Linked DNA regions of Drosophila melanogaster. Changing the gene in region 1 together with any one later gene gives a genetic interaction. Each region holds a gene or a part of one and is shown on either strand. Other genes may lie near its edges.

Evidence for each region.
Region 2: of Pph13 (region 1) and gl, changing one suppresses a phenotype caused by changing the other (phenotypic suppression), as found in Drosophila melanogaster (one study listed by BioGRID).
Region 3: of Pph13 (region 1) and oc, changing one enhances a phenotype caused by changing the other (phenotypic enhancement), as found in Drosophila melanogaster (one study listed by BioGRID).

Annotation. Positions count from the first base shown.
Region 1 is NT_033779.5:575,600-580,086, forward strand, and holds Pph13 (PvuII-PstI homology 13), read left to right. Parts: upstream 1-1,886; 5' UTR 1,887-2,393; coding exon 2,394-2,434; intron 2,435-2,555; coding exon 2,556-2,821; intron 2,822-2,884; coding exon 2,885-3,651; 3' UTR 3,652-3,950; downstream 3,951-4,487. Other genes in the region: Ptth (prothoracicotropic hormone), read right to left, coding at 178-423, 482-805, 915-1,001.
Region 2 is NT_033777.3:18,367,396-18,374,473, reverse strand, and holds gl (glass), read left to right. Parts: upstream 1-1,735; 5' UTR 1,736-1,957; intron 1,958-2,604; 5' UTR 2,605-2,695; coding exon 2,696-2,741; intron 2,742-3,024; coding exon 3,025-3,155; intron 3,156-3,638; coding exon 3,639-5,131; coding exon of another isoform or gene 5,132-5,135; exon of another isoform or gene 5,136-5,527; coding exon 5,528-5,672; coding exon of another isoform or gene 5,673-5,897; 3' UTR 5,898-6,547; downstream 6,548-7,078. Other genes in the region: Nup43 (nucleoporin 43kD), read right to left, coding at 6,613-7,078. UniProt on the Drosophila melanogaster protein: Transcription factor required for gene expression specific to photoreceptor cells.
Region 3 is NC_004354.4:8,647,651-8,652,680, reverse strand, and holds the start of oc (ocelliless), read left to right. Parts: upstream 1-1,999; 5' UTR 2,000-2,306; exon of another isoform or gene 2,307-2,587; intron 2,588-5,030. UniProt on the Drosophila melanogaster protein: Transcriptional regulator involved in pattern formation and cell determination in the embryonic CNS and larval imaginal disks.

The DNA of each region.
Region 1 (4,487 bases):
ATCTAAGAGAAAGCTCAAACATGAACATTAAGCTACATATAAGAATCAAAAGAATGCCTTAAAAATAACAATCTGTTTCATATCGAATCTCTCCCACAATAAAGCAACTTTGACGTCTTTTTGGCGCTTTAATATACAATTAATTCACATTCACGATAGTTGCTCACATCCTTTCAATCACTTTGTGCAGAAGCAGCCGGCAGTTACGGTGACCGTTTTGAACTGCCAAGGTTGATCCTTGTTCATCCACGAATAGGGGTGATCGGACTGAGAGGTCTGTGCCAGGACCTTTACCTTATATTCCAGTGGCCTGCAATTGGATCCATGCGAGCACTTGGCCAGATCCCGACCAGCGCCCGATTCGCAAACGGCATTCATCAGAAAGCGAGGGAAGTGCAGACCACCCAGATCCACGAGCTCATTCTGGGAATAACAAAATAATTATAAACATCTGACGCGGCTGAATGGTATCCCAACGAACCGTAACTTTGCAGTCGCAGCCTGCGGAATGGACATCATTGCGTTTGGTGGTCACCAGATCCTCATAGAAATCGTTATAGTACATGGGCGGCAGCTGATGGGGCATGACCATCGCCATCTCTGTGGGATGTGGAGTGCTGGGACTGAATCCGAATAGGGCACTGAGCATTTTCGATGTACTGCGATCGGGCTGCTGCTCCTCCGCGCGGTGTTCCAGACTCCTTAGACCCACCATCTCGTCCAAACCTTCATCGCTGGCGTACTGACTGGCGATTCCTTTATTTGTCAGGCTAAGCAGCGCCATTGCCATAATGGAAATGGGCAACTTGGAACGGAAGGGTTTTAAAATGAATTCAGTTCGGAGTATATCCTTGTGCGCCCTCCTTTGTAATTTCGTTTCTATATCTTTCGGCTCTCATCCAGATGAAACTTACCCACGGCATCATGCTCGATCTGTGCCTGACCAGCGCTGTACTCCTTCTGCAGCTCTGGCCAAGGAGTCGCCATACTTTTATATCCATTTAGGACAAAAGCCGCCTCTCGGATTACCTTTTGTGCCAGAGATGAGAGCAGCAGCATCCATTACGGTTCGTCACCTGGACAGGATGGAACAATGGACTCCACAGTTGACACCACAACAATGGCAAGCCATGCCAAGCTCAAGTGGCCCGGCTGATGGGGTTGAGTCCCTCGGCTATTTATACTCCTCTGCTGCTTTCAATGCTTCAATGGGGGAAATGGCTTTAAGGCCTCAAGTGCCGGCAGAGGTGGAGAACTTTGGGCGGTGGGAGTAGCCAAAAGAAGCCCACTGACCCAGACATGTGTGCAGAGGCAAAGGGCAATCCGATCTCCTCCCATCGATAACGTTGACCAGGGTGGGTTTCTGGATTTTTGGTTTCCGAAACGGCTCCGAAACTTTTTCCATAGCATACTTTTGAGTGAGGAGCTGTGGGAAATGCAATTCCGATTGTATTTTACTTGTCGGATTTCCCCCAAATGGATGACATTTCCGTTTCATGGTCTTGTTTAAAGAATATTGTTTTTATAATGTGCAAAGGCAGATGAATGGTAAAAATAGTGGTTTATAGTCTTATGTAGAATTCTTAAACATTTTCCAGCTATGCACATCCTCCGAAGGCACCATGAGTTGCCATAAATTATGAGCTCACTATGTCTCCCACTTGGGCCAGTTTGGGTGAGGAGCACCGCCACTGGCATAACAAGCCCGGCTAGAACGACTGTCCAAGAGGCTAGACCGGGTCAGACCTCTTAGGCACATAGTATATACCCCTGTTCGTAGGGAGCCCGCGAGTGTGCGAGTGCCAGTGGACTGTGGTCGACTTCTACGGCTTCTGTCGACGGACAGCACGCACTGTCACTGTTCCCCGTGGAAATCCAAAATCCTCCTCAGTCGAATTCGCGTCGTCGAGGCAAGAACAGTGCCCGTGCCACAAGGTTGGACATGCACAGCTGGACAATCTGACATCGCTTAGCCATCAGCAGCTACATAGGTTCGAGCAAGGGAAGTCGGGACTTGGAATCGGAATCAGAATAAAAAACCAGGAGCGGAGGAGATGCAGATTCCGCTGGTGGGCGACTTATGCTGAGCTCCGCAGCTGCCTGTCTCCAAAGACTTCATCCGTGCTTTCGCCGTTGTTGTTGTGCAGTTTTTCCGCCGTGGAATTTGTCGAAGCGGAAAAGCGAGAAGAAGCAGCGACGCGAAGCCCTCGAAGTGTCGACGAAAATCGTTAAAAAATAGAAAAACACACGGCGACTATGTCACGACGCGCTTGAAGAGCCCCATCCTCGCTGAGGGAGATATTGAGATTGAGCGGGATCCACACCTCAGTGGCCACTACTCGCCACCCACTCCGCCAACGTCAACGTTCACCAACAGGAAGCTCAGGATTCGCATGGACAAAGGCACAATGAAGCGCAAGCAGCGGAGATACAGGTATAGCAGATACATTCGAAATGTACATATATCGCGGTATAAATCCAAAAACTGGACTAGTTTCATAAGTATCTACTAAAGCTATAGGTGCACTAACACTAGTTTTCCTAATGATCCGCAGAACCACATTTAACACACTGCAACTGCAGGAGCTGGAAAGGGCGTTCCAGCGGACACACTATCCGGACGTGTTTTTCCGAGAGGAGCTGGCCGTGAGGATCGATTTGACGGAGGCGAGGGTGCAGGTGTGGTTCCAGAACCGGCGGGCCAAGTGGCGCAAGCAGGAGAAGATCGGTGGGCTTGGCGGAGATTATAAGGAGGGTGCGTTGGATCTCGACGTGTCCTACGACGACAGCGCCGTCCTGGGCCAACTGGATAGTGCGCTGGGTAAGAAAGGATATCTCTGTTACCTATCAACCCATCGCTAGTAATGACCCATATTGATTTCAGGCGGCGGTGGAACTCTATTGCCGGACACCCCACCGCAATCCTCGAACTCCCTTGATAACGAACTTAAGGCCTCCTACGGCACGGGGGCCATGTCGCCCTCTAGGCTGTCACCGAATATATTTCTCAACCTCAACATTGACCACTTGGGACTGGAGCGGGGTGGCAGTGGCCTCTCCATGGAGTGGTCCACATATCCTCCGCAAACGCAAGCGCAGACACACCCGCAGATGGACTCCGACAATCAGCTCCAGCAGCACCCGCCTCAACAGCATGCATCCGATCCGATTCACGCCGGGAGTTCGAGTCATCACCAGCAGCAGCAGCAGCAGCACCAGCAGGAGCAGCACAATCCCCAGCTTCATCCGGGGCTTGAGTTTGCCGCCTCATTGAGTTTGGACATGACCGATGGCTCCTCCGCCTACGACGAGATGAAGTTTCTCAGCGTGGACGTGGACCAGTTCACGATCGACAGCTTCAAGGCGGACTGCATTCTGAGCATGGAGCAGTCCCAGATGCAGGCCTACGGCGGTCACTCCCAGCTGGTCGGATCATCCAATGAACTGTGCCTGGACGGGATTGGCATGTCCTCCTTTGGCATGGAAGAGGGTGAGCCCAAGTCGCCTCCCTCTCTTTTGGTGCTGGACAAGTCGCTGCCCTCTTTGAGCATAGGCGTGGAAGGAATCGCTGATCTCGTGGAGCAACTGCATCATCACCAGCATGAGGGCGGCCCAGTGGGCGGTGGTGTCATCACTGGCGATGTCATGTGAATCCAACTTAGGCGAATTCTCAGTTTCTCAGCGGTAAACTGAAGTGCGAAACCTGCTCTAGTTATATTCTTGTTTTCTAGTCAATGTTAATGTCTAAGTTCAAGACCCAACAAGGTCGCCACACTTGACTACAAATATTTGGATGGTTAACTTACAAAAATTTTAGTACTAAATACTAGTTTATCTGAAGTTGTATTACTTTAGTCCTGGAAATGTGTCTTGATAAATAGCAAAGTGGTTTACATAAAGAGAACCTGTAAGTTTATAACATTTGAAAACAACGAGAATTGTTGAAAAAGAATATTTTTCGTAGTGTACATTTGTGAATTTCGAAACATTCGAATCGAATCGAAACGAAACGGAACGGAACGGGTCCTTGACTACGAGCACGGGTACCTTTTCTGGCCAGGCTCAGCCATAGCTTCTATGGATTCCGCATGTGTGTGCCAAACAAAGGAACCCCCCCCCCCTACGCCCCTGCCACGTCCCCTACCCTCTGCACACGCCTTATTTGTGGCTCGGATTAGAGGCAAGCTAGTTGTGCGATTTGAATGGATTTCGGCTTCCAGTGCTGTTTGTTCGGCAATAACATTTGCTTTGCTTTTTAACAATTACCAAAGACCGCTCCACGCTCCTCCCTGACCTGCCCACTGGTTGGCTGTAATTTCCATTTACTCCTATTAACGAGGATTTCTGTAGCTCCTGATCCTAAGCATCCTCAACGAACAACTCCTACGCTCCATTAAGTGAAAAGCTCACAGCAGAGATGATAAATATGGTGAAATTTAATGAAATTGTCAGTTAGTTCTAAAGTACTACAATAGATATGCTATTCT
Region 2 (7,078 bases), on another chromosome or scaffold:
ATTTTAACACACACGACGCTGGCTGGGCTTGACCTGAAATTCCCATCGATAAGGTAAGGTGATATGGGGGATATAGCTCGATACGTATGCGATCACTGCAAGCCTTTGCACTCAACTGATTTTGCCAATTGGCGGTGAATTCGATTTCGGGCGTGTGAACCAGGTGATCGATCCGAATTGGGATCTCTTCATAGCATTATATCTATAATATATCTTAGCTAAATATAGTCGAGTTGGGCTTAACACATCTATTTCATAATTTCCATTTGCTTTTCCATCTGGCCTGCGATTTATTCCTTGCTTTTTCTGCTGCGACCACAAATCGAACTATCAAATAACATTCAAACTATTCACGATTGTCGGCCCGGCGACAAGAGCATCGATCGATTGGCAGTCGTCATTGGCCGGGCTACAATTGAGAATCAGCGCCGGAGATAGAGATACAAAGATACACGCAACAGAAGCAGATACACACGGCCAGATACGCAGATACAAGCTACAGAAGCAGTCAGGGGGTTGCCGGCCGACTTGGCCGATGGACTGCCTCACTTAACCACAAAACAATGGAGCGAAGAGGAAGCAGAATGCCGACGAAGACGATCAATGGTTGGCAAGTCCGTAGCAACTGTCCCTCCCTCATCAGAGACCCTGCCAGAAAATTCCCATTTTAATATGTGAATTACTTTATTTTCAATACTTCTTGTATCATATTTATATCATACCAATTACATTGTTTATTAATAATCCCTATAGTACTTTTTGTTTATTATGTAATAAAATTACAATACCTTTATTTTAAGAAAGTAAATAATATGTTATATATCGAAAATATTCACTAATCACAAGCATATCAAATAGTCTCAAGTGATTTGATGTCCTCTTAAGAATTTAGCGACAATCTGCGGTTGTGCATCTATAGATTTTAAGGAAAAGGAACTTCATATCTTCTTTTCAACAAATAAAGTGAGGATACTTGTTTGTGAATTGAAAACAACGTTATTTGAACGGCCATCGATTTTGAAGTGTAACATTCTAGAGCACTAGAACTGCTTGCTAGCGATTATTTCTCGAAGTGTACTCTTTTTTCTCCCCGCCTCGTTGGTATCTGGTGTCGAGCTGTAAGATATTGGGTGACAAATAAAAACTACTGAAAACTGCTGCCGATGTAGCTGGCCACGTATGAATGGGCCTGAAACTCGGACTGGGCGGGATCGGCAGCGGAGGAGTCGGATATGGAGGCGAAGGCGAAGGCGGAGGAGGGTGACTTTGGATTTGGATGAGGATGTGGACGTGGAAGCAGCAGAGGGGTGGGTAGTAGCCGCAAAAGCCGGCAGACGGAGCGCATTGGTTGGCCAACAACGATGACGGCAGCGTTGTTGTGGTGGTGGATGGATGGAATCTCAGGAGTGGGCATGGGATATAGTGCGGGATGGCTTGGTGTGGGTATGGTATGGTATGGGTTTGGTATTGGAGGAGGGGTGCTTTCAGCAAGGGTCTCGAGTGTGTAGTGCTGCGTACTTGTGTCATTATAGCCGACCAAAGTGTGAGTGCGAGCGAGATTGTTGTTGCCGTTGTCTTTTGCGCCCTTTTGTCGCTTGTTTATAATTAAGTGAGTATGTTTTTTGCGCCCTGCTGCTTCCTCTGTAGTTGTCGGTTGTCGCTTTGCTGCCGCTCTGCCAATCCGATATATCAGTCGATTTTGGGCCGAGGTGGCTCGAACCGAACTGCAACTGACAATTAGTCGCCGTCTTATGCTCCTCGCCAAAAGTCGCTTCTTGCCCCGCACTCGAAAAATCGAAAACTGAAAACGCATAAAATTCAAATCGGAAAACAACGATCGTGTGTTACTACTTAAAACCGAGTCTTCGAAAAAAAAGTTACAAACATATTTTGCAAGAAAACGTTGAAATTCTATTGGTGATCTTGGTATCATGCCATTTGTGGATCTATTCAGAAGGTGAAAACGATTAAGAGTGCATATGTGAATAAAGAACGGAATAAACAATATTAAATCTGCAATAAAAAAGAAGAAAGAAAAAATGGAATACAACTAATGTATTTGAAATAAAACCTAATAACTGCAAATAGCTAATTAAAATGTCCTAACAATGTTTTGGCTAAGATCGAAAAAATCAATTCACTAAGAAGATTTTATCAATTTAACAATATCATAGCTTTGATCTCATTAAAAAGAAAAACAAAAATTTACTTTGATTTGCATGCATAAATTAGTTAAATAGCAATTTTAACGTTTTGTTTCTTTCAAAATGAAAGTTATTGTAATTTTAGTATAATTTTTTAGTCCTAACAATAATGAAACAATCGAATTGAAATCCATCTTCGTCATAAGAGCGATCTATAATTCGATATCTCTTTTAAATTTAGAGGTGAAGAATCTGTCATATTGTGTATCTAATTTCTGATTAGCTGTCGAACTTTATTTAAAACTGAATTTATTAACACTTTATTGAAAATATATGAAGATTAGATTTGATATTGGTATTTGATTGAATAAATAATAAATTGAATAATAGATTTGAATAAATGAATAGAAAGTGAATCTTAATTAGAATTTACCAATAATGTTCCGTCATCGCCTTGCAGTTGGAAATTAACGCATCAAGATGAAGCGTAGGAAAAGCAGGAACAAATGCGCGACTGCTGAGCCCAAACGTTCCAGAAGTGGAGTCATGTCATGGGATTGTTATATAAGGGTTCCAAACTCCTGAACACAATTCTGGGTGAGTGAAATCGGAAGCACCATTGCACAGATATGCAGATACAGCATATTGTATGGCGATACACGGATGGAAAGTCGCGAGTCGAGAGAGCAAAGCAAATGGCGGTCTCTCGATTTGTGTATTTGTGTGTGTCTGTGTGTGTCTCGAGGGGCGGAGCTAGTGCGCACAGTGGTTGTCATGGGAGCAAAAATGTATCCATGAGATACGCGCTGCTGGCGAGCATCTCTGGCGTACTTCCAGTGATTTTCATGCTGTTCTTTTTTTTTTTTTTTTGGCTGCGCAGATTCCCTGGAAGATCAAGAGGGTGGAGCTATGTACATATCGTGCGATGTCTCAAACGGCGGTCCTGTGGAACCAGAGACGGGCTATGTGCCCAACAATCCCCTGTTCGGCCTGGCGCTGGACAGCCCTCAGGTGAGTCCTGGAATCCTTTTTCGATTTCGCCTCAATATCTCCGGAAATCTTCGAGCGTTCGGTTGTGCTTGTTTCGTGGAAAGAACTTAGCTGAAATCTGTGATATACCTGAACTATTTAAATTTTATAACCAGGAAATAGAACCCAATACCGAAATTGTGGTTATTTTAATTTGCTATATCGGTAACTGAAAAATCAGACAGTTTTGTACTAAGAAGTTTATCATTTTCGTTTTTAAAGTAATCTATTACATTTTTAACCCATACGATTTTATCTATTGGGAAGTTTAATAGCTTAGAAATTCCTTCCATATGTAATACAATTAAACTCTCCTCAGAAGTCAGTATTAGAATGTAAAAATAGTTAAAATTTACTAAATGTTTCCACTAACTAACTAATTATTTTGTCTTAGTTACGTATTAGTACTAACTGAATGTATTTCATAACCGGTCTCAATCTCCATTTCCGTTTTCGCTCGTGCAGCAAGAGTGCGCCGCTTCCTGCGTCGGCTGCCTATCCTGCCAGGGCAGCACCGCCCTGCCCATCTCCTCGCTCACCAGCAGCGACTTCGACTGCGGCGGCTGTTTCGATCCCACGATTGGAGTGGGCGTGGGCATCGGTGGCGGCCACATCCAGATCAGCACGACACCACCGGCGAGCAGCGGCAACGGGAGCAGCAACAACGGTGCCGGAGGAGGCTCCTCGGGTAATCACGGCTACTGGAGCACCGACGAGATGGCTTCCACATTTCCCGGCCTACCGCCGCTGGACATCGATCCGCTGCCCAGCCTGTTCCCATTCTCGCCCTGCGGCGCTTCCTACAACTTTGCCGCCGGCAATCCGCACCAGGCCGCCTCACTCTCCTACACAGTGCATCCGCACCAGATGCTCATTTCGCCGAACTCCCACAATCATGGCCAGATGCACTCGCAGCACCAGCAGCACCAGCACCAGCAATCCCAAGTCCAGGCATCGCACGTAGGCAACTCTCTCCTCCAAAGCAGTGGTGGCAACAATATCGGCAGTAATGGTAGTGCCGGAGGAGTGGCCAACGCTGCCAGTTGCTACTATGAAACCAGTGCTGGAACGGCCGCACCACCTCCTCCTCCGGCGGCAGCCATGTATCCCAGCATGAGCGTGAACGTCAGCATGAACATGACCATGCACCATGGCTACGGTGCCGGTGATGCAGGCGGCGTGCCAATGCAGTGCTCCCAGATGAACTGGACGCCACCCAGTAACTCCACCTCGGCGGCAGCAGCAGCAGCGGCGGTAAATGTGCTATACCCACCGCTGCTGAGTCCCGGTCACTATCCTGCCTCGGCCACATATTCCTTTACAGCGGATTTTCGGGCACCGGCTCCCACGGGTCTGGGTGCCCTGCCACCGCTGACGGTGGGCGAAAAGGAGTCGCCATCGCCGCCGGCCAACTCCTCTTTGGCTGGCTACTATCCCACGGGGGTGGGCAATCAGGGATACACACCGCCCCACAAAAGTCCCACCAGCTATCAGGCAGCCGCCCTGGGCTTAAGTCTATCCGCCTTCGAGGACGAGGAGGATAGCAACGAGGATCTGGACGGCGATGAGGGCAGCAGTGGCGGCGAGATGAAACCCAATCTATGCCGGTTGTGCGGAAAGACATATGCCCGGCCCAGCACGCTCAAGACCCATCTGCGGACCCATTCCGGCGAAAGACCCTATCGATGCCCCGACTGCAACAAGAGCTTCTCGCAGGCAGCCAACCTGACGGCTCACGTACGCACACACACCGGCCAGAAGCCGTTCCGCTGCCCCATCTGCGACCGGAGATTCTCGCAGAGTTCCAGTGTCACCACGCACATGCGCACCCACTCCGGCGAGCGGCCGTACCGCTGCTCCTCGTGCAAGAAGTCCTTCTCGGACAGCAGCACCCTCACCAAGCACCTGCGAATCCACAGTGGCGAGAAGCCCTACCAGTGCAAGCTCTGCCTGCTCAGGTGAGTCCGGGATGGGGGATTTACTTACACCGTCCTTCCTCATTCCTAAACGAACGAAAATGGTTTTGCTTTTACTTTTACGTAAACCCTTAAAGCTTTAAAGATAGTTTAATAATTTCTATCGTTTCAATATAAAACTAACAACTTGAACAAAACTGAGACTGTTGCAAGCTTAAAAAAAAGGAAAACCAAAGATAATATGCATCATTCATTTTCATTCATGCATTTTCGTAAGATTTTCAACTTCAACTAAAGAACTGAAATTAAATGAAATAATAATTGTTTATTCAAATGTAATGCTAAAGATGAAAATTACCCCTTAAAAAAGGCTTAGGCCCCCAAAGAGCAGTCCTGGAACGTTATACATCGAGTTAATTGCTTTTTTGGTGTCCACAGATTTTCGCAGTCGGGGAACTTGAATCGGCACATGCGCGTCCACGGCAACAACAACAGCAGCAATGGCAGCAATGGGGCAACCGGAGTTGGTGGAGAGTCCTCCACCGGCAGCGGAGTTGGTGGTGGCAACAGCCTGCTCACATGACAAAAGCCAAGGAGTGCAGGAGGTTTCCAGCATTACCACCCCCCGCACACCCACCACATGCACCACCAGCACCACGCCCATCACCATCACCACGCCCACATGGGTAACTACGACTACGGGAACTACAGCATCGGCGATTATACTCCACCCGGAGCCACACAAAACTATTCAGGGTATTATTTCTGCGCACTCAACAAGGCGCCCAAGTTCGAACGATTCTACTAGGGACTAAAATCTGGAGGATCCCATCTGGATAAGAAACCTTAAAGGAGGACCACTCAGTGAATTATACGGGGATAGTCACTCTATCGCTGATAAATACAATAATGTATATGCCATACTCAACATTGCTGTAGAAAAATAATTTGGGTTCGTGTTAAATTGAAATCCTAATTGAACATAACGATGTAATAATACTCATAACCCAAATCCGCATCCAAATGCAGTTAAAAATGCTCAAACAATACAAATCTGAGGAATCGCGGAGAATCGAACAAAAGTAGGCCTAAGAGCTGCACTGTACATACTTATACATACTATATTTATTATATTCGCTTAGCCTAATATGCATTGAATCCAAGTTAGTTCATCCATTAAATAAGGTAGTTCAAAACACGCATAAATCTATTCCAAATTAGCCAACGAAATAGGATTTAAGACGGATATGAGTATGAATCATAAGACCAAACAACACAGCAGCACCCAAAACGAGAATATTTAAATTGGAATTGCCAAGGCATTAAACCCATAAACACCTGTATACGAATATAGAGTCCTAAGCTTAAACTAGACGTAGATGTAAGACAGGTGCTTTGATCTAAGCCAATTTTGGAGTATATAAAGAAAATAATAAATATACGAAAATTAAATACAGTAACTAATTGATTTCAACAATTGAAATATTATATAATTTAGGTAAGGAATTCAAAAGGCTTGACATTTAAACAATATTATCAACTAGGTAAACGGCTTCTGTGTCGCCTCCGCAGACCAGACGACTTCCATGCACATCGAAGGAGTTGATGGACTTGCGAACATTACTCAGCACTCCCTCCACATCGACCAGGGAGCGAACACGATCGCCAGACAACCAGGGGCTGTGTCCGTCTTTGTTATAGTCGCACCCGAGAACTTTGTTCTCTGACCACATCCACACCTCGCCACCTTCTGCGGCGGTGAACAGTTTGCTGGGATCCTTTTGATGGAAGCCTATCTCGTTGATGGGACTTTTGTGAGCGCTGAGATAGGAGGCGGGATAACTGAGGTTTCGCATATCCCAGACGGTTATGGAACCCTCTTCGCTGCCGCAAAGTAAAATATGTTGCTGCATCGGATGCTTGGCAAGGGACGAGACAAAGTTCGACTTGTCATCCTGGGAGGCCACCATAAAGGTGGTCTTCGGCTGC
Region 3 (5,030 bases), on another chromosome or scaffold:
CGCTGAAAAAGGCCGAACTAAAAAAGATACAATTTTCATGTTGGCAGTTGTAGTTTTTATTCGTATGTAATGAAATTTACGCGTTAGTTACTTACATATACTCCAAAAGATAAGACCTATAATTGTTAAAGTCTTATTTCAATTTTGGTTTTTCACAATTGAAATTGAAGTGAAAAAAAAAACAAACTTCCTATTGAAAGTTTAAATTAACTATTTGTAAATTGTGTAAGTAAATTACAGTTTTTGTCTAACTAAAACTTTTTCATTTGCGCGCAGTTTTTGCCTCCGTGAATTTTACTCCAAAAACATTTTACATTTCCCCGCAACATTTTTCATGAAAATTAGGTTTTTGTTTTATTTCATTTCGGGCTCTCTGTACAATTTTTTTTTCGAGATTTCCCGTTCGTTGTGTCCGAGTCCCAATTTGTGCGCTAAGCTTTTCCCCTCGAAGGGTAATTGCCTCATGTTTCATCTACACATCAATTAGCCGCAACAATTTAATTTGCCCGCCTGGAAATGGGAAAAGTGCGGTAGCTGGATAAAAAAAAAATAATAAGCACACAGCAATTTCAACAAGAAAAATCCATAAAATATTTGTGCAACATTTTCTCGCCGCCCAAACCTGCGGGCCGTTAGTGCGAGTGAGATGGCCAAACAACTGTCGTCAGCTATTTCAAATTGTCATAAAAATTTGATAAGGTTTTTTCCGCTGCTCCCCCAAACCACCCAACTCTGCGAATTTTTATTCCTGCGTCAGCTACAAGGCAAAAATATAACAGAAAAAAATGTTTGGGCACAAAAAGTGTTGGTTGCTCGAAAATATCATTTACAGTTAGACTGCCATGGTAGAGAATTTATAAATAAGCTAATTAATAATTATAAGCTAGTTGAAAATTAAAACTAACAAAACCGCTTTGCAAAACTAAATCATAATTATAATAGCTATATCTATTGAAATCATTTATTAAAGACCTCTTTTGAGCAATTCTTAGCCCACGAATAGCAAACTAGACTTTAAACCCAAATCCACCTTAAGTTTCGATTCTTTTCGCCTCACTTTGCGTAAATGATAATTGAACAATGGGGGCCGCCCATTGGGGCGAAAGAGAGGGGGCGTGCCAAGTGTGAGTGGCTGGCTCTCCCCATCCCTGTCGCGCTTTCGCCGCTGGTGTTGTGTGTGCATGGCAATTTGCGACGCAGAAGTAGAAGAGGAGGAAGCTAAAGAAGAAGCAGTAGCAGCAGTAGCAGCAGCAGTAGCAAAAGTAGCGGTACTGACCAGCGTCCTTTAAACGCCCGTCGCCACCTACCCCCGTTTCCTTATCTTTCGCTGTTAGCTAACAAATTTTTGCGTTGTTTTCGCTGTCTTGTCGTTTTCATTAAAATTTCATTGCTGCCGCGCAAAAATACGAAGGTACGTTGTTGCTTTTTTTTCCTCCTTTTATGACTATGTATTTTTTGCTCCTCGTTTTTTGCTCTTGTGGCAACAACAAAGTTGTTGAACTGAATTTTTTTGGGGTGTGGTCCCACACTCAAACGCACACCAGCAACGTACACACACGCTCATACACGCGCGCACACACACGCGCAGCAGCAACAACACAGCGGTAAATACAGCTGCTCAGCAAACGGTACCACCAGCAGTTGTCTCGCTCCCACTCAGTCAGGTTGTAAGCGGCGTGCGAGAGAGATGCCGCAAGAGAGTGAGAGAGAGAGAGAGAGCGAAATACTGAACGACTGGAACGGAGCGAAACTACGGCTATCTCACTCTGGCGCGCGGTAGAGAGCCGGGCAGCCATTGCTAAAAGCAGGCACTCACTCGCTCTCCCTCTCGTTTCCACCACCGCTGGTGTTTGTTTGTTGTTTTTTTCCTGCTTCTTCTTCCAACATTTTTTCTTGTTGTTTTTCTTTTTTCGCAGACTCTGGTCGAACGACTTTTGCTCTGCCCGCTGCTCGCTGCGCTGCTGCCGCCGCTGCCATCGTCCGTGGAAGGTGTACCGCAATTCATTTCCAGAGTAACTTTCGTGCCGCTCGGGTTGTTTTTGTGCGTCGTCCGTCGCCCAGTTGCTCAGTTGCTCATTCGCCCCGTTCGCCGCTCGTTCGATCGCTCTCGCCACTCGCCGCGTTCGCCGATAAGCAAGCAAGCACCAGCGCAAGCCAATAACAACAATCAATTCGCCGTCGCCAAACCGAATCAAATCAAATCGAAGCAAACTAAACCAATCAAACACAAATAAACAAATATCAACACGAGAAGCTATAGCTAACACAGCTATAGAGAAACAAAGAGCCCCAGAGGAGAATACTAAGTAATACAGAGAGATATATCCTTTTGGATATAACGCAGTGCCAAGTGACGAGAATCTGTTTTTTTACCGTGTTGCCAGTGCTAAACCATAAACATCGCCCAAAAAACATACATCTCTGGAATACAATATTTATATATATATAAATATACATATATATCTTTATATATATGCATGTGTAAAATATACTCATGCCATAACCATATAGTAGTTGGATCCGAAAACAAGTCACCATTGGAATACAGCACCGTTTTGCTTCTAGTTTTGTTTGTGTTTTTTTTTCGGTGAGTGCGATCCGCCGATATCGAGAAATCGGTAGCAATCTATATATCCAGCAAGGAATGTGGAGCCGAGAGATAAGCACGGATTACATGGGGAATCTGTAGACCTAAGTAGTTTTTGGGGGAGCGGGAATCTATCTTAGGGATTACTCTTATCAACTTGTTTATTTAGCAGAGATATTAGGTCACAAGTCTTACATTATCTATGACATATTTGAAATACACTCTTTAAACTTGGAATAATATTGAAAGATCTAACACGCTGTAAAGCTTAATTATTTTCTTTTTCGTTATCGCTTCAACTTTATTCTTGAGCCAATCTTCATTCTTCATTATAAAGCTCAGACTTTAGAGATATGTTATAATATGTTTGGTTCACTATTTTCGATTAGCCGAACTTGACAGATCTTTTGTTTTTCACTTACACTTCTACATATATTTACAAGGTTAAAATGTTCTTCCAAATGCTATAATCAACCGATATTATTTTGCCACATATACTAGTCTTTATTTAGCTTCAGATTCAATGGATCTTAGAAGTCTTTAATTGGAATACTATTCATTGATTTCGGGGACTCCCAAGTCCAACAATAGAGTTACCTATTCCATGCCCGAAACTTTGTTTCAGTTCCTTCAGCTCTTCGTGATATGATGGAGCCTTTTTTTTAAAAATCTGGTTTCGGTCAGGAAATTTCCGCCTATGACTAATGTGCTGATCGTAATGTGAGAAAATGCGCGTTTCGGAGATTCGTTATGATTTTCATAATTTTAATGGGCATATTAAGGCCGCCTCCCCTAATTAGGCAAAACAAAAAGAAGCCAGCAAGAGCCGACCAAATCGATACGAGAAATGTGATATAGAAAAAAGGCTAACAAAATGATAGGGCCAACGGCGAAGAAACCCCAAGAAAATCAATACTAGATACAATAGAAGACAGCCGACGGACCCGTTCGGGTCACATTATTCACACATATTCCCAACATCCCCACATCACCACATTCCCACTTCCCGATGTTAGCGATCGGATCGTCTAATTTCAAAGCGGCGGCTATAAATTAAAATATCTGAATAATACGTTGACTCCTCGCTGGCTACTTTGTTGTTCTGCTTTATTATTAATTTGCATATGGTTTTCTAACATAAAGCAACTGAATATTAAATATGCAAGTCGATTCATTTTTCTCCCATTCCGATAGTCTTTCTCCATTCGAATCAAAGTGTTGAGAATGGGATTCGGATTCGGCTTCAGATTCGGATACGGAGTTCGTGCAGTTGGTGTAGCTGGTGAAGCTGGTGGGGATCTCTTGGGATCTATTCGGTCCCACCCACGCTTGTGCTTGCTGGCCCTGCCTAGATCCCCATAGTATCACAATACCTCAATGTACCAATCTTCCAATGCCAATTCATTCATTCACAACATCCGCCCAGCGTTGTCGATTGTGAATTGAAAGTCGCCGAGATCGCGTCGCGACACATTTGATACCTTATCGCGGATATCCATAAAGCTCAGCGAATAAGTGAATTTCGCTCTAGGAAGCACTGAAAAAAAAAGTACTCGAAGTTGTAGATTCACATAGCAATGGCATAGCTAAACATTAGATCAAGAATTCATTGGAAGTACGTTGGTTCGATATGCTTGTGGGACATGATGTGATAGATATTACAACTAATAGTATTTATCAATATGTTAGCATTCCATATTTTGTACTATTGATTAAGTATTGAACAATACTAGTAGTTCTAGCCTATTCCATAGTGGTTTTTGAGTTATATTTTAATATGTGGGCATATTTTCGCTCACTGTGAAACGGTATCCATTGTTCCGCTTCCCTAGCACGCCCCAAATCTTTCGGATCGGTTTGGTTGCGATCAACTCGAACTCCCACACACTTGGCATGGGTATGGATATATATGCTCGTACCTGGGAGATCGGGTGTTGCCTTTTTTTTTTTTTTGTTTTGTCGTCATCTTTTGTCAATCTCTTGTGGCGTCGCCTCGCCTTAAGTGAGGTTTCATTTCGTTTCAGTTTATTTCATTTCATCCAGCGTTTCTTGGACTTGGACGCACTTACTGACTTTTTTTCTCCCAATTTTTTTTTTTGCCTACCAATTATTTGTATTATTAATTTTTATCTCTCTTCACTCTTTGCTCATTACGCGATACTGGCGGTGTTGTTGCTATTCGCTTCTCAAATTTCGTTGACAAAGCCATTTAAATAGAAATCACTCAGACGGAGGTTTATTTTTTTTTTCAGTTTTCAGTTTTCAGTCTTCAGGTTCCATTTCCAGTTTCGACTTATCAAGATCACATTGACAATGCGTCAAATAATAAGTTTTTCTAGCCGCTGTCGTTGTTTTTCTTGCTGTTTTTGTTTGTGCTGCGATTCGACTGGAGCTCTTTACTCTATTAGTCTATTATTGATATGTACAATATATTTTTTTTTTG